Linked DNA regions of Oryzias latipes. The protein of the gene in region 2 purifies or fractionates together with the protein of the main gene of each other region. This does not show direct contact. Links are inferred from orthologs where the notes say so. Each region holds a gene or a part of one and is shown on either strand. Other genes may lie near its edges. The genes, in order: rap2c and rabggtb.

Region 1 (8,155 bases), on a different chromosome or scaffold from region 2:
TAGAATTTGACCCCTCAGCTAATTGGCAGACACACAGTCTTATATACAAGACTTACTCAATGGTTTTAGTCTTCAGGGTTGACGCTGTCGCTTTGCTTCCCTATTTTGTTTCATAACAGCACTGGAAAATATGCAGGTGACTAAATTAGAAAACAAGAACACAAACTAGGGCTCACTTTGGTGCAGTGGTTCGCCCACACAGCGAAAGACCCACTCCCATGAAAATTGTGTTACGTTAAAAAGTCCATGTTAAAGTTGTGTTTTTTTACATGGCATTTTTCTCATTGTGGAAGGCTTATAAAAAACAAAATTAAGCTCAAAATTTCATCTCTTTTTTAAATCTGGGGCAAAAAAAAAAATTTGTATTTATGACGTAGACTATATCCTGGCGGGCCACAAGCTCCTTGCTCTGCTCTAGTCTGATGCATTCGCCTGTAGACAATCATGTTTTCCTCGTCTGAGCTGAAATCTGGCTTAAACTGTACGGCTGGATAGCTCCAACATTGCTCAACATTTTTGTTGCACGGCTACTGTTAGGTTTGGGTTGTGAGGGGCTGTAAGCTAACAAGAGTGTAAACAGGAAAGGGGGGCAGGTTTACTCCACACCAACAGTCTCACCCACAACTCAGAGCTAATTTCTAATAAACTCCTGCTGCTCTGCAGAAAATATGTCTAAGAGAACAGTTGTTTTTGTGGCTAAAAACTGCATAATCATAATTCAAAGACCACTTGGAACACTTTTACAACAGATCGAAAGATGATTGGAGTGGGACTTTAAATAAATGTGTTGTTGACATGAGATTTAAATTAAAGTTTAACCAGCTTTGTGACACTTGTGTAAAACCTGAGTTGAGTTTGGTTTCATTGAAAGGTAGTACTGTATGTATCACAAAAGCAGAAAGTCCAGCATCTTTTATTCTGAAATGATGAAAGATGTTTATTTTTAAATGAAAGAAAAGAAAAAAATACAAGACACCCAGGTGCAACCAAAATTTTAAGGCTTTGTTAAATTCCCAGATTTATAGATCTATACAAAAACAAAATAAAAGACACCCAAACTTATTTTCTGAAAACTCAGAAATCCAAAGCTAGGGTAAAAATTCTAATTTTAAAACTGGCTATGGATGTCATAAGATTTAATAAATAGATTACCATCATAGAATCAAAAGTACAAAGTTGAATTTGATTAATTATGCCAGAACTTTAACCAACCCACTGAAACCGGAATTAGCAGATAATAATAATCATATATATGTATATATATAAAAAAAATCTGCAGCTCCGGAATTTAAAGCAACACGTTACATCATTAGACACAATAAAAGCAGGAACATTGTTTACTTTGGTCGCTCCAAAATCTACAGACTTCTCGATAAAACGGAAAATGGAAGACCTGCGTCCACTTAGACCATGCCTTTAAGAGACAGTGACGATTCTGGCAAAACACAGAAATTGGCTCAACCCAGTCACTTCAAGTTAGTTTACATTTTGGAAACAGTTTCACCTCAGCGCACATGTTGTCAAATCGATAGAGGTGCTGTAAATACTGACACAATAAAAAAAGATGGAGTTCCTCTTAGATGTAAATGTTACTGGCTTAATCCAAAGTCACACACCATGTATACGCTTACAAAAATCAGAAGATTCCCATTTAAAAACAAACGTTTTTCAGAAGAAGGTAGCAGAACACCTGAGCAGCACACTAGTTTAGGTATGCACGCTAAATTCAAAATGCTTCAAAAGGTATGAAACACTTGATCAAATCTCTAATCGGAGCCAGAATACAAGTAAAATCAAAGGGTAACATAATTAATGCAGTTAAAAAAACAAAAAAGATGCTGCAACCCCTTACGTCCTCCTGCACCATACTTAAAGGACACGTCAATATATAAGGAGGAGAATCAAAAAACAGTGAGACAGGAATTCACAGAGGGGCTGCCCATCCAGTTGTGTCTGTCCAATCCCAGGTTCATCTCAAAGGCCATTGAGGTTACAGCTGAAGCATCTTCTAGCAGGTATGATATCAAAAATAGGACCAGGTTCTTAGTCAGATTCTCTGTCACGGTCAAAAAAAACAAAACCTTTTTTTCCACAGACCGTGAGGCGACAGCACTGCCTGATGGGACAAGTTTTCGTCAGACAGGTAAAAAGCCAAGCTGTCCCCGTGTTCATCAAAATGCGCGTGGCGATCCAGGCCAATGAAGTCCATCTTTTAGAGCAGAAACACATGTGGGAGAGAGGGATATAAAAAAACAATTTACATGTAAACCACACAGACAACACCTCCAGCAGAGTTTAAAGTGAGCTTCCTATTTGGGGTCCTATTCCTCTTTCAGAATGTGACATTTTCCTCCCTGAAGCCGCTCCAATTTTTTTTTTCATACGCTGTCTTTTTCCTATCAGCTTTTATTCAAGCTTAACATGCATTTATGATGCAGGCAGATTCAGAGAAGCCCTTACCTCTTCCTCACTGAATCACACAGGCCGTGCAGCACTGCTCCTGCTTCTCTGGCAGCGTGGAGTAATTCATCTGTCGGACAATCTCTGCAAACAGCTCGTCCACCATAGTTTTGCTTTTGGCAGAGGTTTCGATGAAAGGGCAGCCCCACTCTTGAGCAAGGGCTCGCCCCTCGGATCCAGCAACTTCACGCTCAGACTCCAGGTCCACTTTGTTACCAACCAGAATCAACGGCACCTTCTCAAAGCGCTTCACACGGACTATTTGGTCTCGCATTGGTCTGATGTCCTGAAAGATGGACATGCAATTATAGTTCTTAAAGCCCTTGAGTTGAGAGATGAACAAGTATTTGTATTAAAAACGGACAAGAAAACAATCAAATGCCCACAGTTTGTGTTTTTGTAGAGATTAATGTCTACTTTGACTTTATAGCCTATTTTAGTTCGTCCAGCAAACAAAAATTTTTCCAAGCATTATTTTCAAACAGAAAACAATAAATCAGAAATAAAAAAAGGAACAATGAAAACTTCTGACAGTGAATTCCTTGTGCTTGTGACAACATGTTGCGCAAATTCTAGTCAATGCATAACAATTAGAGGTGTGACGATAAACCGACTTAATCAATGAATCGATACATAGTTCTACAACCCAACCAGGTCAGTCTGTCTGAGGCAAGTTGTTAATTCAGCCGACCAATACCATTAAAAAGTAGTTTCAAAATGAGATAATCAGTGTGTTAGAATGCATGTTCTGTTTGTATCATCTTGACGTGGAGAAACGACAGTGGGCTGAACATTGACACTAAAATGTGAATGGATTTAACATTCATTTTTGTTTACTTGTTTGTTCACATATTTAATTTACACGTAATTATCTTGAAGTAGTACAAGGACTGAGGAAAACTTCACCTGTCCTGTTCAGTACCAGGTATATTTATCTCTGAGTCACACTGGTTGGATTTTTGGCAACAGATGTCCTGGATTGAAACGCTTTGTTCAACTTTAACACTGTGATAAAGTTTGAGTTTGCCTCAAGTTTCCATTCATGTTGTCCTCCCTTTATTTACCTGGAATGACTGCTGGTTGACCAGGCTGTAGACCAGAATGAAGCCTTGTCCGTTCTTGATGTACAGGTCTCTCATGGAAGCAAACTGCTCGGTCCCCGCCGTGTCCAGGATCTCCAACACGGAGGGCGATGAATCCACTTCGATCTCCTTACGGTAGAAGTCCTCGATGGTCGGGTCGTACTTCTCGATGAAGGTCCCAGTAACAAACTGGACGGTGAGCGCGGACTTTCCCACGCCGCCGCTGCCCAGCACAACAACTTTGTATTCTTTCATTGGGGCGGTGGAGACTTGCTAACTTAGCAGCTAACGTCGTAGCTTTCGATCTATACTCTCTCCAAAAAACATTTAAAGCGGCATTAACAAAGAAGAGCCAACTTGTTGTTGACTTCAAATTTGAGGCATTAAAAGAACCACATAAGCTAAAGCCTGGCAGTCATTCTTATTTCCAGATTTGGTCTGGTCTAAACAGGCGAGTGAAAAGTTGGTAACTCTGAAGTTAGCTTGCTCTCACACTAGCTCGTTCCTGGCTAAATTCCAGCGGTGCCATTCCCGAGCTTCAAGCTATTTGCACTCGGACCCGATGCACCACGAGAGCGCTTTGACTCACATAAGAGTCCTGAAACGGATTTGGCGTCCATCAACAGACACCAGGTTGAGTTGTTGCACACAGAGGCTTCTCTAGACACAGCATGCCACCTCCTTCCGATCAGCCCGCCGGTGTCAGAGCCCTGCTGGGCTAGTCAAGTCCGGGTTCGGGCCTTGTTCTGGTACCGGTCCAGCCCTCGCCTCGATTGCCGAGTGTTATAAACGCAGATGAGGCACGAACACCTGCCACTTCTTCGGCCTTTGTGTTTTTCCGTGAATTTGAGTCGTTGCAGGACAGGTTTTGTTGGCAGAAAGAAATTTTTTTTCTTCACTAAACTGGTTTCCTGAAGCTAACAAACTGCTTCCGCTAACGAGTACGAGACTTCCTGCATGCCTCCCTTCAGAATAAAAGCATGTCTTTCCAACCCCGCAAATCTTTTCTAAAGGCCCGTGTAAAACAACCATTGTCAGCCATTTTGCAAGTAATTTAGATTCTTTACTGTGTCTGAATTAGGTGGCAAAGGCCAAACAGAAAGCTCACGATGAGCTATATGACAGGTTAGACACAAAGGAAGGAGAGAAGGACTTGTACAGGCTAGCCAGACAGAGACAGAGATGGGAAGGACGTGCAACAGATAAGGGGGATTAAGGACAGAGATGGAAATGTGCTAACAACCCAGGAGAGTGTACAGAAAAGATGGAAGGAGTATTTTGAGGAGCTGATGAACGGGGAAAATGACAGGGAAAGAAGGGAGGAAGATGTGGTTGTTGTGGAGCAGGAAGTAGCAGAGATGGGAAAGGATGAGGTTAGGAAGGCTCTGAAAAGGATGAAGAGCGGAAAGGCCGTTGGTCCTGATGATGTACCTGTGGAGGTATGGAAGTGCTTAGGAGAGACAGCAGTGGAATTTCTAACGAGTTTGTTCAATAGGATTATGCCCTGTAAGAGCACCACTGATGCCATTTTTGCTTTGAGAATGTTGATGGAAAAGTACAGAGAAGGTCAGAAGGAGCTGCATTGTGTGTTCGTAGATTTAGAGAAGGCGTATGACAGGGTGCCGAGGGAGGAGCTGTGGTACTGTATGAGGTCGTCTGGAGTGGCAGAGAAGTATGTCAGAGTAGTTTAGGACATGTATGAGAGAAGTATGAGGGTGGTGAGATGTGCTGTAGGTCAGACAGAGGAGTTCAAGGTGGAGGTGGGACTACACCAAGGATCAGCTTTGAGTCCCTTTTTGTTTGCTATGTTGATGGACAGGCTGACAGACGAGGTAAGACAGGAATCTCCCTGGACAATGATGTTTGCGGATGACATTGTAATTTGCAGTGAGAGTAGAGAGCAGGTGGAGGAACAGCTAGAGAGGTGGAGGTTTGCTCTGGAAAGAAGAGGCATGAAGGTCAGTCGTAGTAAGACAGAATACATGTGTCTGAACGAGAGGGATCAAGGTAGAAGCGTTAGGTTACAGGGGACTGAGGTGAAGAAGGTGCAGGAGTTTAAGTACTTGGGGTCAACAGTTCAGTGTGATGGGGAGTGTGGAAAAGAGGTGAAGAGGCGAGTGCAGGCAGGTTGGAGCGGTTGGAGGAAAGTGTCAGGAGTGTTGTGTGACAGAAGAGTGTCAGCAAGACTCAAAGGAAAGGTGTACAAGACAGTGGTGAGACCAGCTCTGCTCTATGGGTTAGAGACGGTAGCAGTGAGACAGAGACAAGAGGCTGAGATGGAGGTAGCGGAGATGAAGATGTTGAGGTTCTCCTTAGGAGTGACCAGGTTAGACAGGATAAGGAACGAGTACATCAGAGGGACGGCTCATGTTGCCTGTGTTAGCGACAAAGTCAGAGAAGCCAGACTGAGATGGTTTGGACATGTTCAGAGGAGGGATAGTGGATATATTGGTAGAAGGATGTTGGAGATGGAGCTGCCTGGCAGGAGGGCAAGAGGACGGCCAAAGAGGAGATATATGGATGTCTTAACAGAGGACATGAAGTTGGCTAATGTTAGGGTAGAAGATGTTCATGATAGAGTGAGGTGGAAAACGATGATTCGCTGTGGCGACCCCTGATGGGAAAAGCCGAAAGAGAAAGAAGACTGTGTCTGAATTAGGACATTTGTATGAATTGCATTCACAAGACAACTTCAGAGAAAATACAACCACTTATGTGAACAACGATCTATTGATCAGTTGCAACCAGATAAAAATAATTTGGACTGATTCACAATTGGTTGTCACTTAAAGTTTTAAATATTCCCTTTTTTTCTTTACTTGATGTTCTCTTATTTATGGAAAATCTGGACCCGGGAATTTCTGATGTCATCAATGTTGTTATTATTTTATGCAAACATTTCATTCATTTATGTAAATGGAAAAATGCATGTCCTTTGTTTAGTATTTTTTTAAAATTATTTTTCTGATTTTTATAAGTGTCTTAAATGCATTTCAAACAAAAACAAGAAACTACAGTAATTTATCAAAATATTTCAAAAGTATAGTTATTTTGAATTGTTTTTTGCCTTTATAACGTTTGTTCACCCTAACTTGGTTTGTATATGAGCATTACAAAAAAAGACACACACAGGGCTTATTACTATTATTGTTGTTTGGTCTTATGTGTGTTTGATATTAACAATTGTTTTTTTATTTTGCAACGTAATGTGAATTTCTGTAAATTGAAAAATGTGCAATAAAGTTTATTGAAAAAAAACAAAAACGATCTATTGATTTATTAAATTGGCATAACCTTCTTAAGAAGACAATTTAACAATTGTAAATACACCAATCTCCTAGTTACCATAATAATTTATTTTTCCATTAATATGCTTTTAATAAACTTACTTAACAGTCTAATTATTTTGCTAGTCTTTTCAATGTTAGATGGATTTGCTCATACTGTAAACAGTTTCTCTCAACTAATTTTCCAGTTAAAAAAATAACTAGAGAATGACATCATTAGCTAAATTTTGATCTGGGAACAGCTACAATTTTGTTCTATATAAATATCTGCAGGTGTGTGTGCACATTCATGGATTTTATGAACATGAACATACTTTGACCACTTTGCGTTTGTTTTCAAGAAATGTGATGGCATGTAGATTATGCATTTAGTAACAGAATACTATAATTTATATTCTATAATAAATAAAATATCCTTAGATCTCAATATTAGATGTTCCAAAGTTTTGTCTGTTGGTTCTTTAGCTATTCACCATTCAGTCTCCATCACATTTTTTAAGTCAAACATGTGTATTCATTTGTCGTCTAATTAATGCACTTATCAAAATAGCAACTTTACTGTGGACAAAATGCTCCACACATGTTGTGTTTGAAATTATATTGATAAAAAAACAAAAAAAAAACAATTACAGCTAATAATAATTACCACATGTAGTGAAAACATACCTTAGGTGGTGCCTTTCAACAAAAAAAAAGCAACACATATTTATGTAAGACAGTTAATGAGCTGATCGAACAATAAAACACAACACAATAGGATTATGTTTGTATGTTTTTATTTAAGATAAACAGAATTAGCAGAAATCATAATTGGCACAATACTCCTAACAGCTACACCCTGCAAAAACAAAACAAAACAAAAAAAGAAAAACATTGTAGAGCTTGGCAGCACATAGAAGCACAAGCAAAAGTGAACCAAGAGATGACTCCTAGAATGTCAGAGTTTTTTATGGCTTAGTCCTGAACAGTCTTTTACTAGCCTCTTCATCCTCCACAAGCCATCGATCAGGCTGGGATTGTTGTACCCAATTTGAAAAACAATGGCATGACTCACCAACAAACTACTTTAAATAAAGGGATCATTTAACAACCATTGAGTAAATGCACTTTTTAAAAATATATGCGTTTAACATAACCGTATCTTTGCACAGTAAAGGCACAAGTACAAACAAGAAAAACAGACGAAAGATGGACTTCAACTTGTCACTTCTAAAAGGAAAACAGCCCAAATATTCGGAGACGTTCATACATAGACATCATGATGGAGGGAATGCACAGATCAGACACCCATCTTCCCTGATATTAATACTCAACAGACAGTGAACC
Region 2 (7,829 bases):
AATGTTTTTCAACCGGTGTGCCGCGGCAAAATAGTGTGCCATGGGAGATGGTCAAGTGTGCAGTGGGACATTGCCCTCATAACTGATTCAACAACATTAAGCATCTCCAGGATATCAGCTCTTTGTTCTTCCAAACAGGCCCTGATAAAACACTGAGTAGTTAGGAATATGAAAGATCATAAAATACTTTTTTCTTTGTGTTTATTTGATTCTATTAAAGACATTTTGATAAGAATAACGGGATACCGCGATTTAGCTGCAGCTTCAGCTGTATTTTGGAAAAGTCCCGCCCCTGTAACTGTCTCCACCAATCATTCTTGGAGACTTGATCACATGTCATCAGTCTGACCAATCAGAAGTGGTTAAAGTCTTCACTTCCTTGTTCTGATTCTGTTGATAAAGTCCCTCAGTTCCAACAAAAATAGCAGCTAAAGCTCGTCTTTAGCAGTGTAGCTTTCCGTGGGATCCAGTGTCAGACCGTGAAAAAGGTGAACAAAACCATGAAGCTCAGAGACGCTAGTCTGTCTGCATTTGGCGGCTGTTTGCACTACATTTCCCATGATGCATTGTGTTAGCAATTTCAGTGCACAATAAGTCTTTCCTTAAATGTCTTGAAACCAAAACGAACACGCATCAAACAGTTTTGAAATCTTCTAACTAAACTTTTACCACATCTATCAGAAAAAAAAAGCTGCAGCTTCCAGCTTTTTCTGCCACAATTATCATAAAAATACATGTGAGATTGCGGAGGGACTGTAGATCAATACAGACTGAGTTTCTCCTTTTTTTTTTTTAAATTTTGGATGCTGGTGTGCCGCGGTATTTTTGTCAAGGTTAAATTGTGCCATGGCTCAAAAAAGGTTGAAAAACACTGATCTAAAGCCACAGCTTAAACACAGAGAATTCTGTTTTTACCATAAAATCTTTTTTGTTGATCATTTTGTCACAAGGATAATTGCAGTTTGAGGGTGTCTTTAGTTTGGGAATTGTCTTATTTACTTGGTAAATAAAGATTAAGTAAATAAATAAATGATATACTTTGATGCAATTTCCAACACTGACTCCATGTAAAAAGTCAAAACTTAGACCAACCTAGCATGATAGCAGGCGTTAATGTAGCTCAGACTGTTCCGACCTTTCACCTCCGTTTTTAGGGTAGTTTTGATCAACAAAAGTAGTTGGAGTTTTCCCTCCAACACAACTAGATCCTGCTTCAACCAACCTAACGTGAATCATTTATCCTCAAGTTAAAAGGATTATGGAGTCAGACTGTAGGGAAGAAAGAGAGATGTTCTTCACTTAAAAGGGCATTTTGGTTCCCACGTTCAGTCCAAATTGAAGCATGATTACAGTTTTCCCTGAAAGTCGGATCAAAAGTGTCTGAATCCACCAGGTGGCAGCAGGAGCAACGGGCCTGGCTCAGAGGGCTCTGGATGAAGCCACCAACTACGCTCTGGAGAGGAAGACCTTTGGCAAAGCTATTGCTGAGGTTAGTTGCCCCCAAATGGAAGCTTTAAACACTTTTTTGTGTTGTTAAAACAAAATACTCGTAAGTTATCTGACAAGTAGAGGATCTTTAAGCTGTGCTTGGGTTTCCCAGCATCAGGCTGTGTCGTTTATCCTGGCTGAGATGGCCATGAAGGTGGAACTGGCCAGGATGGCTTACCAGCGCTCCGCGTGGGAGGTGGACCAGGGCCGCCGAAACACGTACTACGCCTCCATCGCCAAGGCCTTTGCCGGAGACATCGCCAACCAGGTGGCCACGGATGCCGTCCAAGTTTTTGGAGGCAACGGCTTCAACAGTGAATACCCAGTGGAGAAGCTGATGAGGGATGCAAAGATCTACCAGGTTACTCTGCCTGTTGTCTGACGTCACTATCAGGAGGAATTTTGTGGTCAGATTTTTAATGGTTTTGCTTTTTTCTTCGCAGATCTATGAAGGCACGGCTCAGATCCAAAGGCTGATCATTTCCAGAGAGCACTTTGGAAAATATAAGAAATGAGCCCACAGGTCCATGTGCTCCTCTCTGCTTTTCTGTGCACAATCTTACTGTTCAGACTGTAAACGTCAGGACGCAGCTCAGTGGTTTGCCTTGACGTCGATTCATGCGTTGTTTGGTCAACGTAACACAGCTCTTGAATCCACGCTAACTTAGTTTCTGTCCTGTAAGGATTTTGTCTTTTCCCGTCCAGTAGATCTCAGCAGGTCGCAGTCCCTGCAGAGGAACAGAAAAGTGTTCCTGTCAATCACAGAAGGAAAAACCTGCTTCAAAGATTGTTTGCATGTCGAATCCCACACTAAGCTAAGAGAGCTAAAAGTATCAAAGTTTGCAGTGAACATCTGTTGTGTAGATTTTAAACGAGGCATTACTTCAGACTGTATCTTTTCATCTTTACTGCAGTAAAATCTCGAATAACTAACCCTGTTTTCCCTCATTCTGGACTCATTTTAAATGTTGATTTTGTAAAATAACCGTTAAGGTGAATCCTGCTTTCACTAGAATGTGTAGAGAGCTGCTCATCTCTTCCAGCTGGTGCCTAAAAAGATTTTCTGCTCGATTTTATTATTAATGCCAAGAAATGTTGAGCTGAAAAGCAACATTTTTGTACTTCTGTACTGCAGATTTTAAGGCTGGAAGTGTTGGAGGAAGTGCGGCATGTTGGCTCTCTGTAAAGCAATTTATTATCATTCAGTTTGTGCCTCTTTTTATTTAAATTTTTTCATCCATTCGTCAACACAATGGTTTAAATAAGAACAATGAATTAAAGAAATGAAACTGTTTCTGGTGTTTGTTGTACTACATATACGTATTTTTAACTTTGAATGAAAAATGTCTTACAGTAAAAGGGCAGATTTAAAGTCATGATTGTGTTATTTTTATTTTGTATTCCTATGTCCTGTTTACCACCCTGCCAAATGGTTAGAGGCTGGGAGCCTTATGGTGATGGGACTGTAATTAAAAGAAAAATAATATTTTAGTTGAAAATGACAAAAGATAATCGTGGAAATGTTTGTCGCTCAAGACAGGAGCCCCTATGTCAAACGGAGGCCAATTTTCCTGGAAATATGGAGACCACTTGTAGCTTTTTATGTTTAATCTTTTTATTAATATATTACTATTTCCTAACACTCCCATTTTCAAAAGAACACCTATAACCCTTGTGCCATCTTGGATGATCCCCCCCCCCCCTTACATTGATGGGTTCTCCCTACCATGATAAAGGTGGAAAGATTTCATGTAATCCATGGACACCATGGATCGGCACCACAAATCATTGAAGAAAAAAGGTTCAGAGCACTGTCTAGTGGGTCTAGATGACCCAACTCACGATGTAAAAGTGCCTAGGATAGCACAAGGGATAAGAAAGGTTTAAAAAAATATTTGGACAGCATTTTGCAGTCACCTTTATGTGAGAATTTCAATGAAAACACTGTTTTCCACGCGGTTTTATGTCAACATCAAGAAAAACCAGATCAAATGTTTGTAGAAATCTTTGTAGCTTAAACGTTGTTTCACCTACAATTCAAACTAATAGTGAATTCTCAATTGGTAAATTATTAGTTGAAAAAACTTTAAACGTAACTTCCCCAATAAAGATGGACAAAAAAAGGGGGAAAAAATGGTCACAGTTGTTAAACCACAGATGACCAGAGGGGGCAGTATAGCTCCAACCACTAGAGGGAGTTTATGGTGAAACGAAGAAGAAGAAGAGACGACGGAAGTTTCTCCTGGCAGGATATAATGTCAGAATGGTAATCTGACATTTTTTCTAAAGCTGCAGAGGCTTTTTGCATTATTATTCCATAATCAGTGCACAATCCTAAGGACGCGTATTTTATACTAAATTAAACACTACAATTATAGTTATTACGTAAAAAGCAGTTAGTTGAGAAGATGTTAGCTTTAGCGATAGCATCTAGCAACCTAAATAAGCTGTTTAGAGATCTACGTTCATCTGTTAATTAATGTTCACAAAACAAGTTTCTTTTGACGTTGAATGGCAGAGTGATGTGTTTCTTTGTCTAACTTGTCTCGTGACTGGCTCTGGTCAGGGAACTCAAATCAAAGACGTCATTCTGAAGCCGGACGCTCCCAGCTCGCTGCTGCTGGACAAACATGCAGACTACATCGCTGCCTACGGCTCCAAGAAGGACGACTATGTAAGTCAAGCTGCTGCGATCTAAGGCAGAACATCAGCTGGACCAGCAGTTTACAGACATATTTAAAAGTTGTGAGAATGTTGTGTGTCTGATATATTTATTTAACCGGATGTGACTTACGTCATCAAACACCAGTGGCTAGAAAACCATTTCCCCAAAAGATGAGGGAAAAACTGATGAACAACTGTAAACAAATGATGAGACCTTTTGCTTCTGATCAATAGTCTTAAAAACAAAGATTTAGCTTGGATTCAATTGGTGCAAATAGTTTCCACGTGTCAGTATCTCCAGTGTATTTGCTGCTGACGTGACGGTGTGTCGTGTGTTCTCAGGAGTACACCCTGTCGGAGTACCTCAGGATGAGCGGGATCTACTGGGGCTTGACGGTGATGGACTTGATGGGCCAGCTGGACAGAATGAACCTGCAGGAAATCATAGATTTTATCAAAGCCTGCCAGCACGACTGCGGAGGCTTCAGCGCCAGCATCGGACACGACCCTCACCTGCTCTACACCCTCAGCGCTGTCCAGGTGACAAGCTCAGAAATCATTGAGTCTCTTAAGTTGGCTTTACTCTACAAACTCATTTGGCCACACAAAATGTAATTGATAACACAAAGAAATACAAAGTTAAGCATCTTTACTTCTCTCTACTGAATCCTTCAGTATAAATGCTTTAAATGTCAAATCCCTCCTTTAGATCTTATGCCTTTATGACAGCCTGCATGCCATCGATGTGGACAAAGTCGTGGAATATGTGAAGGGGCTTCAGCAGGAAGACGGCTCTTTTGCAGGAGACAAATGGGGTGAGAAAACTTTGTTTTTGTCCATTTACATGTGTTTTTTATACATTACTTTAAAGTGGGGCTGCACGGTGGCGCAGTGGTTAGCGCTCGTGCCTCACAGCAAGAAGGCCCTTGGTTCAAGTCCCGGCTGGGCGACCTGAAACAGAACATCAATGGGGGTCCTTTCTGTGTGGAGTTTGCATGTTCTCCCCGTACATGCGTGGGTTCTCTCCAGGGTCTCCGGCTTCCTCCGTCTAAAAACATGTGCTTCATAGCTTAATTGGTCCATCCAAATTGTCCATAGGTGTGAATGTGAGAGTGCATGGGTGTGTGATTATGTGTGACCCTGCGACAGACTGGTGACCTGTCCAGGGTGTCCCCTTCCCTCGCCCATAAGTGGCCGGGATAGGCTCCAGCAGCCCCGTGACCCCAAAAGGGATAAACAAAAGAAAATGAATGAATGAACTTTAAAGTGGAACAATGCAAATGTCACATCTTGTAATAAGTAAAAGACACACAGGTCACACATCATTTTATTCCAGTTTTATGAGTTATTACTGATTACATCACAGAGTAAGATGTAAGAAACATTAAAACACTGAAATTCAAAGCTTCATGCTGCTTAATTGTTAAAAAAAGGCTGATCATGAACAGATGCTCCAAGATCGTCATAGAAGGAATGTTTCAGAGGACACAACAGTCCAAAAACTTCATGTACAGCTGAACCAGAGCACGTCTAGCACAAATGGTTTCACAGAAATTAAAAACAAAATAAATAAAAACAGCAGAAATGGATGAAAGTGTTGGTATGCTATTCAATATCTTATTTATTTAAATAACTAATACATGCTACCTTAGTTTATAGAATTAAATCAAGTTTAGTGAAAAATTTAAAGAAAAAACCCACACAAAAAAACTTAAATCTTTTTATAGAGAGAAGAAAAAACTGATAAAACTTCACCCGTCAGAGTTTCTTTTTTTCACGGTTCTATCTGCTTGGAGGTAATTGAGTTTGTGCAAATGCCCCCTAGGCGTGGAAGTCTTATAGGAGCACAGATCTCGAGGTTTCCAGACGTTTGGCTCTTTAGTTTTTATCAGAAATTCTTCTTGGTAGAAACGTTATAAAAAGGAGGACTTTAGGATGTGTTTGATGCCGATCATCTCTGTAAAGTTTCTTTTTTCTCATTGAAGTCTGAAACACTTGAAACTGTTTTTAAGCTGCTTTTCTGCCCACAGTTTAGCCAAAAAAGTGACGTTTCAGGGTCATTTTGTTATTAACATTAAAAACAGACGTCTTAATTGTTCACTATAATGAGAATTTCTCTCTTTCTTTGTTTTGTGTTTACAGGAGAAATAGACACCCGGTTTTCTTTCTGTGCTGTTGCCACACTTGCATTACTGGTATGTTTTTTATTTGTTCACAGTTTTTCATCCCAAAGCCCACCAATCTCTAAACTGCCTTTCACACTAATGCTGTTCTTTGAAGGGAAAGATGGAGATGATAAATGTTGACAGAGCTGTGGAGTTCGTCTTATCCTGCATGAACTTTGACGGCGGTTTTGGCTGCAGACCTGGTTCAGAGTCTCACGCTGGGCAGGTGAGGAACTAAAGAGTCATTTCTCTATGAAATAATAAGCAAAGCCTCACTTTTTAGTCCAAATAAAATACCAAATCAGGCCTTCTTCCACCACCTCACGTCATAACTCAGAGGTCTGATTAAGAAGCGGAGGCGTTCTCAGGAGGAAAAGTTTTCATGCTGGACTGTTATGTGTTTCTCTTCAAGCCTCAGTTGTGTTTCAAAAGTCTAAACCTGTTCTGGTTCTGGTCTCAGATCTACTGCTGCACCGGGTTCTTGTCTCTCACCGGCCAGCTGCACCAGCTGAACGCAGACCTGCTGGGCTGGTGGCTCTGCGAACGCCAGCTGCCGTCTGGAGGCCTCAACGGAAGGCCTGAGAAGGTTTGACAGCTTCTAACATGAAATCACAAATCTTTTTAGTTTCCTCGTGAACCAAACCTTAGTGCTGTTGAAGAAGATCATTGAACTCTTTTTCCCATGAGGACCAGCCCTCAGAAACCTGCCGGCGTTCTGAAAAATGTGTTTGTGTACACATTTCCTGTCATTCCCCTTTTTCCCTAAAAAGGAAAGTGAAGTGTGGTGGATCACAGAACACGTTTCTGCTGTTTGTCTGTGACACTGATGTCACCATGGGTTCCATGGGTTCCTATGAATTAAGTGAGAAAGAAACAGAACATGTGGTACTTGCTGTAACAACATTTCTGGGTTGGCTTCAAATATCAGCCCCTCCAGAATTTTCCGGGTCTTCCGATCAACTGCCTCCGACTCGGTCCAGCTGCTCTCATTTTGAACAAGTTTCACCATCAAAATTTCACAATTTACTGTGTGTGGGTTTAAAGAAATCTAGAGTCCAGGTTTTGGGGGTGAAATGAGCACATTTAATGTTATCGGACAGAAAGGAAAAGGTTTTCAAAGCATCACTGAGTCAGCTTTTTATTCTTTAGTTAAAATGTAACGTTTTAACGAAAAGATAATGTTTTTGTGTGAAGTTTGCTAAGCATGCTGCTGTTATTCCATTGTTCAGGTTTGACAAACACTCTTGAACAAACAAGGACAAAAAAAGATATCATTGTAAAGAAATCCCTGATGAAGAAGGACTTTCATCAGTGTGGAGCATTTCCTGTGACGGTGCATAAAGCTGCCCTTGGAAAATAAAACAGCTTTAGAATTTGTGTGCCATCCCTTTAGTTTGAAAAGTGTAGCAACTTTGATCACAACTTTGAAGGCAAAAACTAGCGGCGGCTTCAGGATTTTTGTGCTGCAATAATCACTGAAATAGCTGTGAGATCCTGAATTTTGTGATGTTG

The links.
Region 1: the proteins of rabggtb (region 2) and rap2c purify together in Homo sapiens (co-immunoprecipitation; 3 studies listed by BioGRID and IntAct, counting the BioPlex papers as one, with this or other methods). This does not show direct contact. The link is inferred for Oryzias latipes from reciprocal best matches to the Homo sapiens genes RABGGTB and RAP2C.

Annotation. Positions count from the first base shown.
Region 1 is NC_019868.2:11,793,164-11,801,318, forward strand, and holds rap2c (ras-related protein Rap-2c), read right to left. Parts: upstream 4,504-8,155; 5' UTR 3,798-4,503; coding exon 3,525-3,797; intron 2,747-3,524; coding exon 2,468-2,746; 3' UTR 2,461-2,467; intron 2,210-2,460; 3' UTR 912-2,209; downstream 1-911. UniProt on the Homo sapiens protein: Small GTP-binding protein which cycles between a GDP-bound inactive and a GTP-bound active form. May play a role in cytoskeletal rearrangements and regulate cell spreading through activation of the effector TNIK.
Region 2 is NC_019875.2:3,785,249-3,793,077, forward strand, and holds the start of rabggtb (geranylgeranyl transferase type-2 subunit beta), read left to right. Parts: upstream 1-3,638; 5' UTR 3,639-3,751; coding exon 3,752-3,754; intron 3,755-4,054; coding exon 4,055-4,162; intron 4,163-4,494; coding exon 4,495-4,692; intron 4,693-4,861; coding exon 4,862-4,967; intron 4,968-6,294; coding exon 6,295-6,347; intron 6,348-6,432; coding exon 6,433-6,543; intron 6,544-6,777; coding exon 6,778-6,903; intron 6,904-7,829. Other genes in the region: acadm (medium-chain specific acyl-CoA dehydrogenase, mitochondrial), read left to right, coding at 1,394-1,489, 1,601-1,849, 1,932-2,003. UniProt on the Homo sapiens protein: Catalyzes the transfer of a geranylgeranyl moiety from geranylgeranyl diphosphate to both cysteines of Rab proteins with the C-terminal sequence -XXCC, -XCXC and -CCXX, such as RAB1A, RAB3A, RAB5A and RAB7A.